2 linked regions of the Rhinolophus ferrumequinum genome follow. The protein of the gene in region 2 binds, or shares a complex with, the protein of the main gene of each other region. Links are inferred from orthologs where the notes say so. Each region holds a gene or a part of one and is shown on either strand. Other genes may lie near its edges.

What was found. The genes of interacting proteins can lie anywhere in the genome.
Region 1: the proteins of NSUN4 (region 2) and MTERF4 are in contact, whole or in part, in a crystal structure (PDB 4FP9), measured with the Homo sapiens proteins. The link is inferred for Rhinolophus ferrumequinum from reciprocal best matches to the Homo sapiens genes NSUN4 and MTERF4. Residues at the interface, in NP_950245.2 of Homo sapiens: Pro61, Ser62, Arg64, Val65, Leu68, Ser69, Glu70, Arg136, Gly137, Asp138, Ile139, Arg141, Asn367, Leu368, Met369; in NP_872307.2 of Homo sapiens: Tyr267, Glu269, Arg270, Leu271, Gly272, Arg273, Glu311, Glu312, Val315, Phe316, Lys318, Leu319, Arg322, Glu323, Glu326.

The regions. Positions count from the first base shown.
Region 1 is NC_046291.1:548,272-556,059, forward strand, and holds the start of MTERF4 (transcription termination factor 4, mitochondrial), read left to right. Parts: upstream 1-4,349; 5' UTR 4,350-4,479; coding exon 4,480-4,500; intron 4,501-5,807; coding exon 5,808-6,276; intron 6,277-7,788. Other genes in the region: PASK (PAS domain-containing serine/threonine-protein kinase), read left to right, coding at 1-114, 728-813. UniProt on the Homo sapiens protein: Regulator of mitochondrial ribosome biogenesis and translation. Binds to mitochondrial ribosomal RNAs 16S, 12S and 7S and targets NSUN4 RNA methyltransferase to the mitochondrial large ribosomal subunit (39S).
Region 2 is NC_046292.1:32,909,583-32,917,645, reverse strand, and holds the start of NSUN4 (5-methylcytosine rRNA methyltransferase NSUN4), read right to left. Parts: upstream 3,276-8,063; 5' UTR 3,188-3,275; coding exon 3,095-3,187; intron 1-3,094. UniProt on the Homo sapiens protein: Mitochondrial RNA cytosine C(5)-methyltransferase that methylates cytosine to 5-methylcytosine (m5C) in various RNAs, such as rRNAs, mRNAs and some long non-coding RNAs (lncRNAs).

The DNA of each region.
Region 1 (7,788 bases), on a different chromosome or scaffold from region 2:
CTGTCCCTGAGCAGCGCACCACCTTGGAGAAGCTGGTGACAAACCCCTGGGTGACGCAGCCTGTGAACCTTGCTGACTACACCTGGGAGGAGGTGTATCAAGTAAATAAGCCAGGTGAGAGGTGAGGAGGTTCCCCAGGCTGCCTTTTGGGTCCGGGGAGGACGGGGAGGCTCCCTCCTCCCATGCTGTTCTGGACACAAATGTCACGGCCCATAGCTGGCTCGTCCCCTATGAAACAAACGGGACTTGATTCTGTTCCAGGGGCCCCTGAATGCCCCCGGGGTTCAGAGCTTTGCCTGTGGGCCTTGGAAGGTGGGTGAGTGAGTCCCTGTGGGAGCCTGTGATGAGATGGTACCTACAGAAGGGGTGGGGGCTGGGGTTTGAGAAATGCAGTTGCTGCAGTGATGTGAATGGGCTGACGAGGGGAATGAGGCCATAGACGTGAGTCAGTGTTCGGGGACCTGCAGGGCCCTGCTCTTCAGACGAGGCAGATGGCTGCCCAGCCGGGCCACCCAGCCCATGTGGCTGGTCACTGAGCTGGTGGTGATGACTCCAGCCTCGAACCCCACCGCACCTCGGCGGGTCCAGGGACTCTGGAACAGTGCCAGTTGGGTTTGGAAGGGTCCCTCGGATGGCTTTTGCTCCTAGGAATTCTTCTAGAGGGAAGCAAAGTGGTTTAGAATCATGTGGTGTTAGCATATGATGCACTACCATCTTCTTTCCTCAGACAGCGGAGTTCTGTCCATTATGAGTCTGGAGACGGAGAGCAGGACCCCAAGCACAGTGGCCTCGGGCCCCAGGGGAGCCCCCTAACGATGGTTTCACCCAACCAGGAAATCACGTTGTTTTCAGGCCCTTCTGTTGAGAGAAATTAATTCTCAGGAATTAGGCCAAGTTCACCTCTGAAAAACACATGTGTGAGTTTGATAAATGCTAGAACAAAAGCCCAGTGATGTTGTACCATTTTAGGTTTATAAAATAGACTTGGAGTTCATTTTTTTCATGACTTTGAAAAAACATGGTAGTATTCAATTGAGTTTTGTACTATGAGAGGCCATTTCATCTGTGAACTTCTGAAAAGCATCAATAAATTTGTAAATCTCTTTCTACTTCTGTATATATGCACATTTCTGTTTCCTCTGACTTGGCCTCTGCTCATCTGATAGGCGGAATTTGCAGAACTGGTTAGCCAAATGACCAGCGTATTTTATTCATTTATTTCCTTGAACATTTTCCAAATTAAACCACTTTGTTAGTAAACACTTACCCTGACTTGGACTGTCTGAATTCTTCCACAATGCCAGTGTGGGAAGCACTTTGTTTCTGCACCCCTACTCACTGCAGCTGGAGGGAGGGCCAGCCTCACACAGTTTGGGGTCCCTCCAGGGACCCCAGCAAGCTTTGCAGCTTGCTCCGTCTCAGGAGACTGGGAGAGAGTGGCGGTCTCGGGCACCTCCCTTTCTCTGGGCCCAGCTTGTCCGGGTTGGCCCATCACCTGTCTGGGCTCTGATGTCAGGCGGGCTGTGCAGCAGACCCTCCCAGCAGCCCCAGACATCCCCGCGCCAGCCTGGCGCCACCTCTCCCTCACTGTCCTACTCTTGCTCCGGTCCCAGGGCTTCTCACACTCAGATACCCCCTGTCCCCGGCTCCGTGCATCCCCTCTGAAACAATCAGCTTGCTCAAGCACATGAAAGCCAGGCTCCATTTTGTACCTGTTGGAGGGGAGAGAGTGCTTAGGGGTAAGAGGAAAGTTTCTCCCCTCACGCCTTCTGAAACACCAGGAAGAAAACAAGAAAAAGGAAGACTCCCCACTCTCTTCCCACAGTTCCCACTTGCTGCAGGTACCAAGGCGGCTGCTGCCCAGAGCCCTGAGGAAGGTACTCGGGGGCCAGGCCGCCTCCACTATGGCCCTGTGCTCAGCACTCAACGGTCTTAATATTTTAGGACGCTCAGATAACAGCTAATGTGATTCTCAACTACTAGGACACAGGATTTCCCCATCTCTAGAAATTGCTGTTCGAGTCTCTGCCATCACGGGAAAGAGATGGGACTCCTCCATCAGGGTCAGTTAGACAGAGCTTGGAGACATGTGCTTTTATGTGTAGGAAAAAGTGATACAGAACTTCAGAATTCAAATGAGTTTCCTTATGTTCTAAGAACTGTTTTCAAAAGTGGGGGGAAAAAAACCCCAAACATTTATCCTTGTAGTGTTTATGATGTTTATAACACAAGAGCAGTTACAGAATGTTTTTTTCAGACAGGCGTGCCATGGGCTGATAATGCAAAGTCCTCACTCTACAAGAGCTGTTCGTTCTTTATATGAAACAAAATTCATCTGACTTGATGGCAGTAGAAGGTTTGATACTTTGAGAGTGTTTTTCACAGAAAGAACTGGGGAGAAAAGTTCTGAGTCTGAGACTGATGCATTTTTCTGTCCACGTTCCAAGTATGTGCCCAGAGAGCAACATGTTCATAGCAAACTGAAGATACTGCTGGCTCTTAGAGCAAACCTGGCACCCCAGCCGTTTCTTTGTTTCCAGAGCTGGATAACTGCTTAGGTTCCTTGATGCTTTCCAGGTTGTGGGGTAGCACAGGGTTTTCTTAGGCTTTGGGTGTAAAAGCATTAACAATTTATTTTGAGGTGCTGACAGTGGAGTGTTTTAAGAAGAAAGATTAAAAACCATCAAAAACAACCAATTCTTTGACCCCACACAGATTACAAATGTCCTTTTCTTTGATGTAATCCTTGTGTAAAAAGATAGGTCTTAGCACCCAGCGCAGTGCTTGGCACAGAGCAGGTACTCTGTAAATTGTATTCATGCAAGAATCAGGTCCCTTTTCTGAACCAGAACCAAGTTCAGAACCAGGTCCCAGTTCAGAACAAAGTTGGTGAAACAAGAAGAAATGTTTATAAAGTAAGGTACTGGGCTTACGAGTGGTGGAATTCAGGCAGTTGAGGGAACACACCGTTTTAGTTTTTTTCACAACTACCCACGTTTGAAAGATGCGTAGGCTCTACACCCGAATTACTACAGGTTTGAAATTTAAGAAGAAATACCATGACAAGAAAATTCTGAGATGTCGTGAATTAATTACAGCAGGCCAGAGGGTGGAGGGAAGACACAAGAAAGAGGTTAGTCATTTAAACAATGCAGGGCAAAACCAACAAGACTGCTTGCATTCCTGAGTGTGTGTTGGAACTTCAAATTAACTTCCAAGTGCCTGTTTCTACGGTTATCTGGAGAATAGCTAGGGCCACTGCCCCCCAGAAGCCTCCACTTCCTGGTTACCTGTGGATTCCCCTCACTGTTGCCCACAGCCAATCCAAAGGAGCAAACACTTCCTCCCTGGACTGCACCCATCCCCAAGCTAGCCCTGCTCCACCTTCTCACACCCCCTTCACAGCCAGTATCAGTTCTTGAACAACTCACATCTTCCTTCTACTTGCTGTATACCAAGAGCTTGTCAACCCCAGGACCGCGGACATGTTGCCTTCACCTACCGTGTTTCCCCGAAAATAAGGCCTAGCCGGACCATCAGCTCTAATGCATCTTTTGGAGTAAAAATTAATATAAGATTATATTATGAGAAGAGCGGGTCTTATAGTAAAATAAGACCGGGTCTTATATTAACTTTCGCTTCAAAAGACGCATCAGAGCTGATGGCCCGGCTAGGTCGTATTTTCAGGGAAACACGGTAGCACTGCTGCTGGCGGTTTAGACTGCACACCCCAGGACCTGGTTCTTTTCTGGCTAGCGTATGGCTCAATACACCCTTTCTTTCAAAAAAGCTTTCAATCATGAAACTGTTTTAACAGCAAATTGGGCTGAAACATTACTGGCTTTCATCTCAAGGGGAAACCAGACCTCCGAGTGGGGAGGACTTGTGTCAATAAGGGGACATGTGTTGCAGTTCCTGTCATTTGATGACTTGGGTCGTATTTCTTAAAAATTGTCAAGACTTCCGGAGTTCCTTGCGATAGTTTCAACACCCCTAGAATACACCTGTCTTTTAGTGTGTGTGTGTGTTTCCTCAGTATTCATGCTGAATACAGATTTTCACACAGTAAGTCTTAAACATCTTCATCTGGGACCCCGTGTTTTCTGGCTGCTTCTACCCCGACGTGAAAACGCTTCGGGAAGTTACTGTCGAACCACGGGACGTGGCCGGTTTGAGTCCAGGTTCTAGTTTCCTTTCACCTCTTCTCTTCAGAGGGATTTTAAAGTAACGCGAAGCGAAGGTTTGGGGAAGGAGCTGTTCGCTAGCCGCGCTAGCCGAGAAGGCGAGAAAGCGGGAAAGTGGCAGCGGAGAACAAAGCGGAGAACCCGCCCCGGGCCCGCCCAGCGCGGGACACGTCCTGAGAAGGGCCGCCGCGGAACGCGTTTCCCGCGCCGTCGCGCTTGCGAGGGGGAAGGCGGAAGCGGCGGACGGCGGGCGCTCTGCTTCCGGCGCCGGAGTCGCGGTGGCCGCCTTCGCGCTATGGCGGCGCTCGGCCGGCAGGTGAGGCTGCGCCGTCGGCTGGACCCCTGGCGGGTCGCGGGCGGGGGCGCAGAGGAGTCGCCGGCGCCCAGGTGCTTCCCGGCAGGCGGCGACCTGTTGCCGTCGGAGCCTTCCCGCAGGCCGGTGCACACAGCAAGTGCACGCACCTGGGCTGCGGCGCTCGCTGTCCGCTCGGTCAGCGCGCCCTGAGCGCAGCTCCGCCCGGCTCGGCACTAGCCGGGCCCGGGCGTGAATCCGGCGGCGGGAGCGGGTGGGCCGCGGGCGGGGCGAGGCGCGGCAGCCCGGGGGCCGCGAGCGCGTGGGCTTGACTGCCTGCCGGGGGCCACGCTGGGTGACGTTTGGGCGCGCGGGGACCCGTCCGGTTTGCTCCGCGCCGGCCTGGGCCACGGACCACTTTTGAAGTGAGCGGGAATTCTACATACAAGTTGGCTGCCGGACTAAGCTGCATTCTACCTAACAGGGTTGTTTCTGTGGAATGGACTTAGGGCCATGAATCCCGAGCCTAGTAGGAGGTCCCGAGTTTTCACGTGTGGGACCAAGTCGGCGCCCCGGAGTTGGCGTGGAAACCATTGTAGACTAAAGACATTTGAGATTCGGCACCTACGGGAAGTTTCCTCAGAGCTTTGCTTTTCACTAAAAGCAGAAACGGCTGGGAGTGAGGCTGCCGTGGGTCCTCTCTCCCGGGGAGTTTATGGCCGGGAAGGAAAAAAAGAAAGAAGACCACTCGGCACCTGTATAAACAGACAATCCGGCAAACTTTCTCATCGCCCCTGTCCCCCTAGAAACCCGCTGGTTCTTCCCATAAGAGCCTTTTCTCCTCCTCCCTCTCCGTCGTGAAGTTAACGTCCGTCACTAGCCACATAGGGAGCTACGTCTTTTGTTAGCTGCCATATGCACGTTAAGAAACTTGGGGGATTTTTCTTCCTGTGGATCTACTGTCAGTTAAATTTGCAGCCTCCGCCCCCCCCACCCCCCCACACTGACCCTGACAGGGTGAAGGAAACGTCCTCCCCTCCCCCAAGCACTTCACCAGGCGGCACTGAAATAGTTCCCTTCCCCTCAGTTACAGGAGCCCAAGCTGGGAGCCTGCGTTGCTCTGACCTCTGCCCTTGCAGTGCTCTGCTCTCTGTGTGGGAATCTCCTTCTGTGTAGGCTTTTGAAGTTCACGTACGATTTTGCAGATGTCTTATGAAAACAGGTTCCTGTGGGACCAAGGCACAGATACCCTGCTCATCCTGCTTGTACGTCCTGCGGTGCCCGTGACATGGGGCGATGAGGAACTGATGCCCTTTTGTACTGTCTTCCAGGTCTCGGCTTGGTACCACCTGATCCCCCTCACCTGGGCCCGCATGTCTAGGCAGACTCCTCAGAAAAAGATGACGGCTTCCTCGTTGTGTAAACTGACCACAGCCTCCACCGGAGGGGGCCTTGAGGAGGTACCCTGTGTGCAGGACCCAGCGTGCAGGACGCATCTCCCTCAGTGCCTCCTCGAGAAGCAGAGTGCTCCTGTGGACGGAGGGCCCTGGGAGCGAGAGGAGGTCATCACTTCCCTCCTGGACATGGGTTTCAGTGATGTCCACGTGAATGAGTTGCTCACAGTGCAACCAGGTACCCACCCTCAACAGGTGCTGGATATCGTTTCAGAATTAATACTCTTGGGTGTGAATCCAGAGCCTGTGTGTGTGGCTCTGAAGAAAAGTCCTCAGTTATTGAAACTGCCTGTGATGCACATGAAGAAGCGCTCCAGTTATCTGCGAAAGCTTGGCCTTGGAGAAGGTAAAGGTGTAGCTTTTATAGATAGTGCCCAGGGGTCCACGCTGGGGAACGAGCAGCCTCCGTGAGCTGGATTAGGGGAGGTTTCTGGGGAAGGCCCTTGAGAGGACTGTGTGACTTGGTGTGGAGGTGAAGAAGAGGCGTGGTCTCGTTTCAGGCGTTGCAGGACGGGAGGAGGCAGTTGGGTAGCAGGCAGGGACTCTCGTCTTGTTCCCTGGGGGGGCTCTAGCGTCTAGAACAGGTGGGCACGGGTGCTCACAGGTGGATGTCAGTATGCGATATAGACGTGTATAACCTTTGGTGTTTAAATTAGCTTAGGTGGTCTTAGTGCTTTGTGTCTGAGGTTGAGCCAGAGCCATACAGAGTCCCTGGTAAATGCTTGGATTCCAGCTGGGTGTCTTGATTTACTGTGGAACGGGAGATCTTCCCAGATTCCTGGGAAATGGTGGAGCAGCTGTTCCCTCCAGCCGCCACCTCCAGTCCCAACAGAATTCTAGAGAAGTTCATTGGGTCTCTTTATGGGCCCTCTGGAGAAGGGGTTTGGGGGCCCAGGAGGGTCTCCAAGGACCCCTACCCACTTTGACCAGAGGAGTTCCACTGTTCTCTTTTTCACTCTTGACTCTCACTGGTTAGACGTCGGGGGGGAAAGGTTTGCAGACCACGTTTCAGATGACCTCTGCAGGCCTTCTTCTCCAGAAGTAAGCAGAGACCGCCTTGTGTGTTTCTCGGACCCGATGACCTGTGGCTGTATAATCGGAAAGACTAAACGGAACACCTTATGTGCTCTGATTATAAATTAGCAAGCTCAGCACGGCCTTACGTGGCAAAGATAAAGTCTAAACTCCTGAAATTCTGATACATTTTGGCAAGACAGTGACTAATTCAACTGTTAGGAGCATTTCAACTAGCCATTTAAAGAAGTGATTTTAAGTTTCCAGGTACTAACTTTTACCAACTATCCGTAGGAGACCATGTGCCGCACGCAGTTCACCTACCTCAGGCAGTCTCAGTTCACACCAGTTATCTAATGCAATTAACAGGGCATCTTTCACCCAGTTTGGATAAAATATGTGGTCACCCCACTAGGTGGGTCATCAGTATTTGTGCTAGTTGTTACTATTATGGTAATTATTTTCATGGCACTCCTTTTCTTTGAGTTCAGGCCCCCAGGTCTTAGGAATGTTGGTTGTGAGTGGTCCGATGACAGTTTTATTCTGGAAGGAAACCTCAACCCAGAGTCCCATGGTGAGGGACGCTACTCCCCATCTTACTGTCTGACCTTTTCAGGAAATCCCTGTGAAATACTTTTCTAGGTGAGGGCAAGAGGAGGAGACATAGAATATGTATATAAAGCAGGCGCCTTTCAGCTGGGAGGCCAGCGAGAGGCAGGCACGTGGGGCAGGGAGGGCTGCAGAGTCTGAGTGAGGGGTTAGCGGGGAGGTGGGCCGTTCTGGCTCCTCCCTCTCCCCAGGTGCTGCTGGGAAGACCTCTGAGGCCGGCACTGGTTCTGTGGGG
Region 2 (8,063 bases):
GGTTGCCACAACTGGGAAACTTAATATCTGGCAATCCTGTTCCCGTCTGTGAATTTTCCTCTGGCCTGGATTTCTGACTTGGTTGGAACTCTTGCTCTGGCCCTCATTTCTTGTTATGGCTGGGACTCTTGCTCCGACCATCAGTTCTCCTATGGCAGGGACTCTTGCTCTGGTTTCTGCTGTGGTGGAGACTCTCAGTCTTGCCCAGATTCTTGTCATGGTGGGGACTCTTGCTTCGGCTCCGACTTTTGCTATGGAGGGCATTCTTGCTCGGGCCCTGACTTTTGCTACTCTGGGGACGCTCACTCTGTTCCTGACATACGCCAAGTTGAAGACTCTCGCATTGATCCTGATTTATGCTTTGGTGGGGACTCTCGCTCCGGTTCCGACTTCTGCTTTGATGGGTATTTGTGTTCTGGCTGTCACTATTCTGGCATTCACTAGTAACAGTTGAACTACAGCTGGGATTAGTGCTACAGGTGGAACTCGTGGATGAAGGCATAGGACAGCTGTAGGGGACCTTCAGCGTCTCTTTGCGTGAGCCTCGAGAAGCCACAGAGTAGACATGGAAGCCACAGGGCATCGTATCAGGGTGGCCCTGGGGTCGGGGGTCAATGGGTAAACTTTGGGGGTCAAAAGGTGTTCTCAAAGGGATAAAAGAATAGATATGTGTAGGACATGGAGGTGCCACAGGCTGGCGATGGGGTTGGGATGGGCCCCTGGGAGTGCCATAGGTACCACGGGGGGGCACCATGGGCTGGTTATGACACTGAGGGGGACCTGTGGAACCAGAAGGTGGGCAGGGATCAGGGGTGGGGGGAACCACAGAATATATATGGGTACAGCAAGGGGCTCTTAGCGGGGGTCCATGGGGGCAGCTCTGAGCATAAATATTGGGTAAGATAGAATCACAAGGAAAGCAGAAGGGAAGCGAAGTGGGGATAACAGTTTTGAGGGTCCTAGGGACTAGGGTAGGTAAGGTAGTCCCTTGAGGAAGTTCTTTGGGGCAGGAATTTGAGCAAGTTGTGATGGATGTCACCATACAAGAAGGACCAGAGAGACCAGAAGGGTGGGAGGGAGGTATGGGAGAGGTGCTAGCCTTAGAGGGCCTGAATTGCTCAGGAGTGTTCTGGGCAGAGGTGACCAGGGAGCGACATCTGTGGGGAGCACGTAGCTGTTTTAACCCTGGGGATTTGGGGGACTTCTCTTGGGGGCAAACTGCAGTAAGGAGAGGGGGTTCATTATAGCTTCTACAAAAGGGTGACTGGGGTGGAGATACAAACTGGTTACCCAGGGATGAAGAGAAGGAGAAGGCAGAAAAAGGACAGGGTGAGGACAGGGAAAGAGGTGGTTCCTGAGGACACGGGGGACCAGAAACCGTGGTACCAGTAAAGAGGTAAGAGCGCCCACCAGTCTTCCAGGGGAAAATGGACTCAAAGCAAGGCTTCCTGGGAGCCTGGGACTGGGGTGAGCAAGAAGAACCAGTAATCCCAGGGGGTAGGAGAATGACACTATAAGGGCTCCCAGGGGCAGATATGTGGGTCTCTGGGGGGAGATGGGAATAGTGATAGGAATCCTCCTGAGATGAGCTGGGATAGTCAGCCACACATGCCTGAGAAGAAAGTGGGGAGCCACAATTTTTCCCAAGGCGTGGATCAAGCTGTGGTTTAGGTTCACAAGAGTCTGGAGGCTTAAGATGGCCTTGGTAAAACTGACCAGTGGGTGGGGAAGATGCTGAGGAAAGAGGAGGATCATTACAACTTCTCCCTGAGGACCAGGGAGGGTACAGAGAGGAGATCTGTGAGAGCTCTAACACCCTGTGAGAAAGGGGTAGGGAAATTATAGGCCTAGTTTCCTTGGGCTGGTGAGCAATGGGAGGTGAAATCATGAGGCCAGTTCCCTGAGAATCATGAGTGACAGGTGAAATCATGGGGCCAGTTTCTAAATGCACATGAGTGAGGGGAGGAGAACTCACCGGGCTGGTTTGTGGGGGCCCATGAGTGAGAGGAGGGGAGGTCACCCTGCTTGTTACTAAGGCTGAATTATTTTCAGCACAGTAACAGAGGTAAGTGTGGTGGTCAGTGTAAGGACTTTGGGGACAGGGACGAGGTGTTCTCACGGGACTGATCCAGCTGCAATGAGGGCTCCGCGAATGGAGAAGGGGTGAACCCAGAAGTCTGAACCGCTCAAAACAAGGGCTCGGAGGGCGCGAACCCGAGGGGACAGGCTCCTGGTAGCAGTGCCTTGCGAGGGGTGGAGAACAGGGTTCAAAAGAACATCTCTCCAAGCGCAGGGGAGGTTGTGGGGCTGAGGAGGGGGATAGTGGGGGCGGGGAGGGAATCGGTCGGGGTAGGGAGCGGGGAGTGCCGGTTATGGAGGAAATTCCAGGGCTACCGGTGAGGCCAGAGAAAAGGTCTCTGGAGAAATGGGGAGACCCAAGAGCGTGAGAGTAGTCAGGGCATCTTTTGCCCGGGTTTGAGGAAGGGCCGGGGGTATGGGCAGGGTGGTCGCTGTAACCTTTCCTCGCCGCTAGAGGCAGCTCGAGTGTAAGGAAGGGGTTAAATCCTTTTCCGAAGGGCGGCTGAGACCCAGGTAGGAAGGGAAAGTCGCTATGATCTTTTCCGTGGGGTGAGGGTGGCCCGGCTGGAAAATCTTTAAGGAAAGAAGGAGAAGAGGTCATGGGTGGAGGGGGGACGAGAAGGGGCGGGGTAGGAAAGAGGGGTAGGGTGGGAGAGAGGGAGGGAGGGAAGTGGGGGCCAAGAGGAAGGTAATCAAGAGCTGGGGAACAACAGGCAATGACAAAACTGGGAGAATGAGGACGGAGGTGATGACGTAACTTAGAGAGGCGGGGTCAGGCGGCTGTAGACGAAACAAGAGGGAGACCAAGACTTGTGGCGAAATAAAAGAGCCATGACGATAAAGAGGTGACGCCCCCTGAAGTGAGGGGGATAAAGGCCAAAGGCGTTCCAGAGGGGTGGGAGTAGCGAATCTAACTGAGTAGGGCGCGAAGTGGAAGGGCCAAAAAAGTTTCCCGAGGAGCGGCAGCCAGAGGCCGCTGTCACTGTTCCCTCCTGGGCCCCCGGCTGGACCTTACCCATTTCTTCTTATGTCGGTGTCTCCGCGGGACCTTCGCGAAGTCCGCACGCTTCAACAGGTCCCGAACACTTCTCACTACCAGAGCAGCCATATCCGCGTGCGCCGCTGTATAATTCCGACCGGAACAGCAAGGCGAGACCCGCGGGTTCCCGAGAGGTGGTGCGCGACTCGCGGGACAAAAAGGGGAGGGACTTACGGCTGAGTCCTCCCGAGGCTCCACCTACCTTTCCTCAGGTGCGACGCCCCCAGGGATCTTTTGAGGGTGCTGGAAAAGAACCACCCTTCGCACTGAATGGTGGCTCGGCCTGGGTGCTTGGAACATTTGGAGAGACTCCGTAAAAGTCTAACCCAGCTGGAATCGGAGTACTGGGAACTGGCAGTTGAGTACTGAAAGAGTTAGCTATACAAAAAGGGGCGGGAAAGGCCTCCAAGGCAGAAGAAGTTGCACGGAGAAAGATCCTAAGGTAGCGTTAAAAAACGAGCCTAGACGTGTAGGCAGAGACGGATTTTTAGTGAAGCTAATGAAAGCTTAAGTTTCTTCTGGACCTGTCATTCGCACTGCCCCCTTCAAGGCCCTGTACCTAATACTATATTATTTTTCTTTGTGTAAGTTTGGGGCTCCGGAAAACTTGACTTCACCACAGATAAAGAGCCAGTAGAGATCAGTGTTTTAAAAAGTGATCATCTAAAAAAAAGAAAAAAATTTGATCATCTGACAGCCGATGACCAAGTAGGTAGGGAGATCAGATGAGAGAAGATGATTGTCTGGATCAGCGTGGTGGCAGTGAAGATGGATCCCACCTATAATTAAGAGAGAAACTACAGGACTTGCTGACTGATTGGCCCAAAATAATACATACTACACCACCAATTAATTGCTGTTCTCTTACCCTGCCTTTATTCTTATAACTTATTACACCTGATATGTATTTATTTTCTTATAATTTTCAAAAGAAAAAAAGCATAATTCTTATACAAATATAAAATGAACACATGCCAGATTTTATTCATCGTAATAAATTACTCATCCATCATTATCCTAAATAACGAGGAAACCAGTAAGATGGTAGGACTTGTTCAAATGAGAATTTGAGTTGCAGAGCTTTCAATTATCAGCCAAAGGAATGCTGAAATGAATTTACTAATAGTTGCAAAATCATTAATATCCTATTAAGTAATAAACTTTAATATTTGGAATTATCTCTTATGCTAGATGGAAATCAATTCCATCTCTACTGGACAAAATTCATGCACATTACTATGGATAGGAATCATTTGCGTTGCTCCCAGACAAGAATTATTTACATTGCTACCAGTTTTCTACAAGTTAACCTCTACTCCTACAAAGTTGTAAGATAGCCTAGTCAATATAAAGTCAATCAAAGGTATAACCCAACACTAGAATGAAAAAGCACCCAGTAATCCTCTTCTGCCCATTTACACATTCTGGACAATTTTTCTGGACTTGTCTTCCCTCACTAGATTGCAAGATTTAAAAGAACAAGATTTTTTTAAATTCATTGCTGAATTATCATATCAGCACCTAGGACTGTAAGTGGTACATAGTTGGCTCTCAATAGATATGAATTAAATGAATTAAAGATGAGAAAATAGAAATGTAAATGTAAACAATTTTCAAGAAGTTGATTACAGGAACCAGGCAGTTGTAAAGTGAAAAGAGGTATGTGTATAGAAAAAAGTATTTTTTTAAAAAAAAGCTCATAGACATTTAAATCCAGATAAGGATCCAATAAGAGAAATTGGATACACAAGTGAGGAGGTATCTTAGACTCGCCTGTCCTCAAAAGCTTACACCAAATATGGAGTGTCAGGACCACAACCAAAATCTTGTGAAGGGCCCCTTCCCACTCCAGGCCTCAGTTTATCAATCTATAAAATGGGGAGCAAGGGTTGGACTAAATCAATGATTCTCAAACTTTTTGCTCTCAGGACTACTTTACACTCTTAAAAATTATTTAGAATTATTGAGCTTTTGTTTATTAGTATTTGCCAGATTAGAAATTGAAACAAATTTTAAAAATAGTCATTAAAATAACAATAAACCCATTACATTTAACATAAATATCATTAGAAAAATAATTATATTTTTCTAAAAGAAATTTAGTCAGAAGAGTGGAATTGTTTTATAGATCTCTTGCAAATTAATGTCTGGCTTAATAGAAAGCTGGATTCTCATATCTGCTTTTTCAGTGTGTTGTGATATGTTCTAGTTGAAATATGTGTAGAAAATCCAGTTTCACACATATTTAGTAAGAAAAGAGGGGTATTTTAGTAGCCTTTGTTTATAATTGTGAATATTCTTTGATACTAAACCACAATTTGACAAATGATAGTTTCTTTAAACATTAATGGCAGTGTGGAATCTGTAACTATATCAAAGAACTTTTGTACTCTGTTACATAGATTCATTGGACTCTCTGGTACTCTGTATGAAACTTTTGCCCATGCATGATTGTCACATCATACAGTGGTTATTTGGAAATTATTGGTTCACTGAGTTATACAGATCTTTCAAATGTTTTCACATTCATTATAAATATTTTTAAAAGTCACATTTGTTAATATCACTACTGATCTCAACAGAAAGACCCTTAAATGTTAGGAAGCTTTTAAACTCACAATGGCTGGTGCAGGTTTTTCAAAATCCTAATTTTTGCTTGAAAGCTTGGATTTTATTTTTGGCAGCAAATAACTGACAATTCTTTTCCTTGAAATGACAGGCTTACTTTGTCCATTTTTCAAGAAAATGCTAGTATATTAAAATACAATTGATTTTTGTCTATTGATTTTATTTTCTGAAACTTTGCTAAATTCAGTTATGTTTTGGTAACTTTTTGAGAAATCTTTTCAGATTTTCTATGCACAAGATCATGTCTTTTATCAAGTTGCTTTTATTTCTTTTCAATCTTTTATTTCTTTTCAATCTGCATGCTTTTTTTCCCCTTGCCTTTCATTGCCTTATTCCACTGGTTAGGACTTACTGTTGAATCCAAGTCATGTTAGTATAGACATCATTGCCTTGTTCCAAAGGCATTCAGTATTTCACCATTATATGTGATGTTAGCTGTAGTTTTTTGTTTTTTTCCATTTTTTTATTTTATTTTATTATTATTATTTTTTAAGATTTTATTGGGGAAGGGGAACAGGACTTTATTGGGGAACAGTGTGTATTTCCAGGACTTTTTCCAAGTCAAGTTGTTGTCCTTTCAATCTTAGTTGTGGAGGGTGCAGCTCAGCTCCAGGTCCAGTTGCCGTTGTTAGTCTAGTGTAGGGGGCACAGCCCATCATCCCTTGCGGGAGTCAAGGAGTCCAACCGGCAACCTTGTGGTTGAGAGCCCACTGGCCCATGTGGGAATCAAACTGGCAGCCCTTAGAGTTAGGAGTATGGAGCTCCAACTGCCTGAGCCACCGGGCCGGCCCATTTTTTAGGTTTTTTTAGAAGTTCCCTTCTATTCCTAGTTTGCTGAGATTTTTAAAACATCAAGAATGGTTGTTGATTTTCTTCAAATGCTTTTCCTACATCTATTGAGATGATCATATGTTTTTTTCTTCATTCTGTTAATACGATGAATTATACTGTCTGATTTTTCAAATGATGAACCAACTTTGCATTCCTGTGTAAAAAACCCCACAGTTCATGATGTATTATTCTTTTTTTTAAAGATTTTATTGGGGAAAGGGAACAGGACTTTATTGGGGAACAGTGTGTACTTTCAGGCCTTTTTTCCAAGTCAAGTTGTTGTCCTTTCAATCTTAGTTGTGGAGGGTGCTGTTCAACTTCAAGTTGTTGTCCTTTCAGTCTTAGTTGTGGAGGGCGCAGCTCAGCTCCAGGTCCAGTTGCCGTTTTCTAGTTGCAGGGGGCGCTGCCCACCATCCCTTGCAGGAGTCGAGGAATCAAACTGGCAACCTTGTGGTTGAGAGGACGCGCTCCAACCAACTGAGCCATTCGGGAGCTCAGCGGCAGCTCAGCTCAAGGTGCCGTGTTCAATCTTAGTTGCAGGGGGCACAGCCCACCATCCCTTGTGGGACTCGAGGAATTGAACTGGCAACCTTGTGGTTGAGAGCCTGTGCTCCAACCAACTGAGCCATCCGGGAGGCTCAAGGTGCCCGTGTTCAATCTTAGTTGCAGGGAGTGGAGCCCACCATCCCTTGTGGGACTTGAGGAATTGAACTGGCAACCTTGTGGTTGAGAGCCCACTGGCCCATGTGGGAATCGAACCGGTGGCCTGCGGAGTTAGGAGCATGGAGCTCTAACCGCCTGAGCCACCGGGCCGGCCCATATTATTCTTTTTATATATTATTTTATTGTTGCATCTATGTTCATGGGGATATTGGCCAGCAATTTTCTCTTCCCGTAAGGCCTTCGTTTGATTTTGATATTCAGGGTAATGCTGGCCTCATAAAATTAGTTTGGGAAGTGTCCCTTCACTTCTATTTTCTGAAAGAATTTTTATTCAATTGGTATTATTTCTTCTTTAAATTACTGACAGAATTAAACAGTGAAGCCATCTGAGCCTGGAGTTGGATGTTTCTTTTACCTTCTTTCTTTCCCTCCCTTACTTCCTTCCTTCTTTTTCCCTCCCTCGTTCCCTCCCTCCCTCCCGCCTTTCCTTTCTTCCTCCTTTCTTCCCTTCCTTCCTTCCTTTCTGGAATGCAGGGTGAGAAGGAAAGGAAGGTTTTAAATTATGAATTCAATTTCTTTCCTTGATATTCTGTTTTCAACCGGAGGTGATTTTGCCTCTTCTCCAGGGGACATTTGGTAACATCTGGGGATATTTTGAGTTGTTATAACTGAGTGGTGCTTTTGCAGTAGATACTGCTGAAAACCCTGCAATACACAGGACAGTCCACCCCACCCAAAGAATTATCCAGACCAAAATGTCAATAGTGCTAAGGTTGAGAAACTCTGATAAAAGGCTATTTGAATTTTATAATTCTTCTTGAAT